2 linked regions of the Callithrix jacchus genome follow. The protein of the gene in region 1 purifies or fractionates together with the protein of each later gene. This does not show direct contact. Links are inferred from orthologs where the notes say so. Each region holds a gene or a part of one and is shown on either strand. Other genes may lie near its edges.

Evidence for each region.
Region 2: the proteins of TGFBRAP1 (region 1) and VPS33A purify together in Homo sapiens (co-immunoprecipitation; 5 studies listed by BioGRID and IntAct, with this or other methods). This does not show direct contact. The link is inferred for Callithrix jacchus from reciprocal best matches to the Homo sapiens genes TGFBRAP1 and VPS33A.

The regions. Positions count from the first base shown.
Region 1 is NC_133515.1:15,348,949-15,352,772, reverse strand, and holds part of TGFBRAP1 (transforming growth factor-beta receptor-associated protein 1), read left to right. Parts: intron 1-1,472; coding exon 1,473-1,619; intron 1,620-2,146; coding exon 2,147-2,306; intron 2,307-3,824. UniProt on the Homo sapiens protein: Plays a role in the TGF-beta/activin signaling pathway. It associates with inactive heteromeric TGF-beta and activin receptor complexes, mainly through the type II receptor, and is released upon activation of signaling.
Region 2 is NC_133510.1:125,441,928-125,444,600, forward strand, and holds the end of VPS33A (vacuolar protein sorting-associated protein 33A), read right to left. Parts: intron 2,126-2,673; coding exon 1,957-2,125; intron 1,576-1,956; coding exon 1,394-1,575; 3' UTR 718-1,393; downstream 1-717.

The sequences.
Region 1 (3,824 bases):
CTTGGGCCATGCCGGGCAGCCTGTTGCCCTCATCCCTGCTCCCACCGCTGCCAACATGGAGGTTGTGGGCCTGGAGGAGGGAGAGGAGCCATGAGCAAGACTTGGCCTGTCTTGGAGACTGAGAAATGCTGGCAGTGAAAAAGCGCCTGTTGGCTAGAGCGGAGGTAGCAGGCTTAGGACAGTATCCTTAGTAATGCCCTACGGGTTACTGGGAGGAACACAGCAAGCATTTCAGTTCTCACTATGAAAAACATGCTTCCAAGGCTCCCCTCAGAGAGACAAAATGAGCTTTCTGATGCAGGTCCTTGGTCCTGAATGAAGAGTTTCTGAGTGCTGCATCTGCCTTTCTAAAACTTGAGTTGGAATATACTCTCATATCCTCTGTGGTGCTGCCTTCCCTGGAAAATCAGAACCAGGCACTGGCGCTTTGTGTACTTGGGACTCCATCTTTACTTTGCCACTGTGCATTTGCCTGCAGAACACATCTTGGCCCACTCACACACACCTACAACGTGGATCTCAGTGCCGTTGCAAAGTTTAGGCCTCTCCCAGTGCTCACAGATGATAGCAGCAGAACATACATGGAATTCAGTATGCCACATGGTAGATAGTCACCTGACAAAGGTCATTGCTTAAACATCACAGCAACCCCTCAGTGGGCCTTACCTACAGGTGAGGAAACTGAGGCTGTAGTTTGTAAAACTGGGACACAAATCCAGGCTTGCAGAATCCAAAATCTGTACCATAATACATGATATATGAATGTATTGGGCTTATAGGGGGCGTGTGTGTGCGTGCACAGGATAGAACCTGAACACGTAAGGGCTTGGAGGAGGTGTGGTGGAGAGCTGCTTTCCTACCTGCCTCACTGTCCTTCCCTTGAACCAGAGGATTGGACCAGTGCCTCCACTTGATAGACACAGGAAGGCAGCCTGGAAACTTGCTCAGGGACTGGAGGCTCAGAGCTCAGATGAACCATCTATCCAAATTAACCCAGAGTAGATAATCCATGTTCAGAGAAGTGAGTTTACTGTACAGAAATGTCAGCGCTTTCGATACCTTTTCACATCCTGTTCAGCTACTGCCATCCTTGTTCTTGGATTATCTGAATATTATAAAATTGTTACTCCATGGGTTGTCAAAATCTGTCAGCAAAAAATGCCTTGTTCTTCAGTTTCCAATTTGCACAGGGTCTTCGAGGAGGGCTTCAGGGTTTAGGTTGCCTTTTTAATCTTGATTTGTTGCCCTCTGGCCTTTGACACTGCTTCATGCTGGGCTGTTTTTCTCTATAAATATATTTTTTACACCGCTGTATTGAAATATGATTGACATACAAAAAGCTGTACATATTGAATACATCATTATATTTTAAGCGATGATTTTATCCAAAGCTTTAATGTGCAGTGACCAAAATAGATGAAGAAAAAGTGGGTTTGAAAAGTACAGTCGCTGTATTGCCGCCCCTCTTTCAGGTCGGAGTTCAAGTTTTCACCAAGAGACCTTTGGATGAACAGCAGAAGAACAGTTTTAACCCAGACGACGTTATCAATTGCCTTAAAAAATACCCTAAAGCCCTTGTGAAGTATCTGGAACATCTCGTGATAGACAAGAGACTGCAGGTGAGCACTGCAGAACTGAGACTCAAGAGGGTGGGCTGGAAACGCAGAATTAAACTACAACACTTTTTGGCATGTAGGTCTGTGTAATGTCTATTCCCTGGGTGCTCCATCCTACTTGTTGATGGTCTGATGGGGGCCTTGAGGCTTGCGGAAAGAGACATGGAGCAATAGGTAGCTTTATTTTTTCTCCTTCCATCTCACGTCCACTCAGCTTTTATTTTTCTCCTCTTTTCCTTCTTTGTTATAATCCTTAAAGGAAATAAAAGGAGCTATACCTTTTTGTAGGTTACCTCAATTCTGTGGCCCTTACTTCTCGAAATAAGAGGTGATTTTTTGTTATATTCCCCATAGATGGTCAACTCATGTCTGTATTGTGGTTTCTGAGAAGGTTTTGATCCAGTGAGTGAGCATCCGCCCGGCTCATGTCAGCGCAGCTCCCGTCTCCAAGCCTTGGCTGACCGGGGAGAGCTTTGGCCTTCCCACTTGAAAACACTGTCTGTTTGCTTGGCTCCCCCTGTTTCCTGCAGAAAGAAGAGTATCACACCCACTTAGCTGTGCTCTACCTGGAAGACGTGCTGCAGCAGAGGGCCTCCGCCAGCAGCAAGGGTGCGGAGACCACTGAGACGCAGGCCAAGCTGCGGCGTCTTCTCCAGAAGTCCGATTTATACCGAGTCCACTTTCTTATCGGTGAGAATGATCTCAGTACTGTCTTCCTTTAGAAAAACTCTTATCAAGTGGGTGGGAGGAAGCAGAGAGACGGGCTTTGGCACAACTCCTGGTTGATTCCATGGGGTGATTCCTTGAGCCTCTTTTTTAAAAATGACAGGATGTCGCTTTGTCGCCCAGGCTGGTTTCAAACTTGTGGCCTCAAATGATCTTCTTGCTTCTGCCTCCCAAAATGCTGGGATTACAGATGTGAACTACCACACTTGGCCCTTGAGCCTCTTTTGACAGAGTCAGCCTCCCTGGAGGGAGAAGTGAGGCTTCTTGTGCCTCTAGATGGACACTGCCTTTTGATTGATGATGTTGGCACTTCCCTGGTAGCTTTTGGTGTGTGTGTCTTGACCATACCTTTGTCTGAGCATCTTTATCAATGTCAGAGCACTGAGTCATAGTTCCGTCTGATGACTCCAGTCTCTGATCAAGGCTTTGCAGTAGGCACTGCCCCCAGCAGGCCACTCCTGGGCTGCTCAAGGCTCAGGGCCCTCGAGCTCTAAGCGAGAAGGCATTGCGGGTGTCTTGGAGGGGATTTGCGTTTCCATTCCTCAGGGGTACAGAGACCACCGTTTCTGTATCGTGTAAAGTTCCATGTGCAGCACAGTGCTTGCAACTGTTAGAATTAACTAGTTTCTTGCCACATTAGACATAGAATTTCTGGATTTATACTCACTGGGGTTAGTGACGTGTTTTTCTTTAATGGCCTTTAATACCATTTTTTGACCAATAACAAAGCATGTCTAACACATGCGTTGTCTCCAGAGAGCTTAGGAGTGCCAGGCAGCACTTCAGAACTACGCTGAAATCACCAACTAAAGGCACCAACATGCAAAAAGGCATGGCACTAAAGAGCCCCTGAAAAGGAAATGAAGCAAGGAGGGAGGGCGCTGCTCCTTTGGCCCCAGCTCTGTGTCAGGCTCGGTGCTTGTCACAGATGACCTTGAAATTCCTGCAAGTGTTGATTGGGAGGTTATAAATAAATGTCAGTGAGTAGATGACTCTGTAAATACAGAATCCACAAATAATGAGGATTGACTGGATATGCCAGGCACAGGTCGAATCACCGAGGCTGCCTTATGACATACAGTTTCCACAACAACCCCGTGAAGCGAGTCCGGTCATTCCTCCATTTTTACAGAAGAGTGCACTGAAGCTCAGAGACGTTACCCCACTTGCCACAGGTCACACAGCCCAATGCGTGGTAGAGCCACAACAGGGGTGTGGGATGGCATTTCATGAGACCAGCAAACACTAGTTCTGGCTTGCACCTGCACCTACATTAGGACTTTCTGTGGTGATCTGCCATGTGAATTCTGTTGACTCACAGCTGCCATCCCTGACTGATCATTGCCAGGGTATACCAGCTATTGAATATTCTTACTCACTCCTGACTTATCCTTTTTGCTTTACAAATCTCCTTATAAAACTCTCAGGCCAGCCACAAGTGTGTGGATCAATGTTTGCATTCCGCCAGCGTTTTTGAGCATG
Region 2 (2,673 bases), on another chromosome or scaffold:
TGGAGGCATCCACCACTGCTGTGTCTGGAGTTAATAACGTGTGTGCTAAGAAAGTGTCTTTGAAGCTGGGCATGGAGGCTCATGCCTGTAATCTGAGCATTTTGGAAGGCTGAGGTGGGTGGATCACTTGAGGTCAGCAGTTCAAGATTAGCCTGACCAACATGGTGAAACCCCGTCTCTACTAAAAATATAAAAATTAGCTGGGCATGGTGGTGCACACCTGTAATCCCAACTACTCCGGAGGCTGTGCAGGAGAATCGCTTGAACCTGGGAGGTGGAGGTTGCAGTGAGCTAAGATCACGCCACTGCACTCCAGCCTGGGTGACAGAGCGAGACTCTGTCTCAAGACAAAAACAAAAAACCAGAAAGTGTCTCTGAATTCTTTCAAAAGCTGAATTCTCAAAAGGCTGCTCCCCAATTATCACATTTTTTTCATGTTGAAAGTCCCTGATAAGTATGGAACCTACAGAGATGTAGCTGATCCCATAGAGCATAAACTTTGTTGCTGGCCAAGAAGCTCCCCCAAACCTCTTGCTTTGTAAGAAGGAAGCAAAGTTGCCTTAGTGATCAGCGACTGGTGACCCTAAACATACTCTCCCATACTCGCAGGAAGAAGAAATCTCAACTCAGTGATAAAATGATCTCCAGCTCCCAACACTTAACCACTGTCCTAGGCCTGATGCGCCTTGAAGAAATACAGCGCTGGAGATTAGGGGATGGACTTCCTCTTTTTATTTTCAGTTTTACCTCCTCAGTCTCAGCTTTAAGAGCTGGCCCCATTTGTGTGGCTGAATGGATTATCTACCCCCACCATCCCTAACGTATTTCCACAGGTCTCTAATGAAGACCCTGAGCTTAGAAACCTCAAAACCAGTGCTTCTTTTATACAGGCTGATTCTCTTCTATTCTTCTTCAGAAGATTAGAGACTAGGCATGGTGGTTCATGCCTGTGATCCCAGTACTGTGGGAGGCCGAGGCAGGTGGATCACCTGAGGTCAGGAGTTCAAGACCAGCCTAGCCAACATGGTGAAACACGATCTCTACTAAAACTACAAAAATTAGTCAGGCATGGTATCGAATGCCTATAGTACCAGCTACTCAGGAGGCTGAGGCAGGAGAATCGCTTGAACCCAGGAGGTGGAGGTTGCAGTGAGCTGAGATCACGCCATTGCACTCCAGCCTGGGTGACATAGCAAAACTCCATCTCCCTACCACAAAAATAAAGGAATATAAACGAGAAGGAGAAAGGAGTAAACAGTATAATTTAAGAAGCTGACCCCAGGTTATATTCTGTAATCCCATGTTTCTTCTATGGGGTTTTACTTCCTTTCAGCAACTTCTTCAACGAGGCAGTTTACTCTGCAGTTCACTTGTTAGGTCTCTTCTGAACACCCTAGAAAGGTTTTTCCATCAGCGCCTCTATCCAACTGGTTCCATTAATTAATTTAGTGGTGGCAATGACATATTCTGTACCTCCATCTTCCAACTGGGAAAGAAATCGCAGGGCAGCAATTTCCGCAAAGGTTACGCCCCCAAGGAAAAATACCAGAGTGACTCGGTTTTCTCCCGGTTGACCTACAATGTAAAATTTCAGAATTAAAAACTAGTGGTTTTTATTTTATTAGTGGTGCTTCTCTGCCCACCCCTTCAAACATTTTATCATTCATAATAAACAAGTCTTCATCCAGACAGTTCATCTGAAACCCAGGGACACTGATTTTAATCTCAATGTTTTTTGTAACTCCTGAGATTCTCAATGCAGAGGTTGAAAGCTGTGAACCCTCAGGGAATAATCTGATTCTAGTGCTTACTATATACAATAGCAACAAACAAAAGAGGGATCTTTAATTCTGACTCCTATGTGCTTTACCAAGTATTTTACAAAGCCAACTGTACAATACCTGAAAACCACATTGACAGAACATAATTATCTGCAGATGCTGGACTGGGACTTACGTTTCTTCTGCAGTCCCGTGGGCAGTGGCTGCCTCTCCTCAAAGTGGGGCCCTGGGAGGATGCGGAGGACCTCCTCGATGCTCCGCCAGCCAGGCCGGGAAAGCAGCTGAGCCAGCCGCACGCTGAGCGGGGCATAGCCACTGTACACATAGGATATGTCCGTGGGGTTCTGTGAGATTTAAAGAACAAAAGTCTGTTGATACAGAGTCTTAGAGCTACCTGACTGTGGCCTTTTGGGTAATCCAAAATTATTTGATTTGAATTTAAAGACAGAGATACAGCTGCCACCCCTGCCATGCCCTGTTCTAATCCACCCTAGCGGGGCTCAATTTTAGCAGCCAGAACTTCACTTTTGACTAAATCTTGAAAAGCCACTCAAAGCAGCTCTAGGTACAGATGAAAAACTGTTCTGTGGTCTGACATGAAACCTTTTTTTTTTTTTTGAGACAGAGTCTGGCTCTGTCACCCAGGCTGGAGTGCAGTGGTGCAGTCTCAGCTCACTGCAACCTTGGCCTCCCAAGTTTAAGCAATTCTCCTGCCTCAGTCTCCCAAGTAGCTGGGATCACAGGTGTGCACCACCACTACTGGCTAATTTTTTGTATTTTTACTAGAGATGGGGTTTCACCATGCTGGCCAGGCTGGTCTTGAACTCCTGACCTCAGTTGATCCACTTGCCTCGGCCTCCCAATGTGTTGGGATTACAGGTGTGAGCCACCA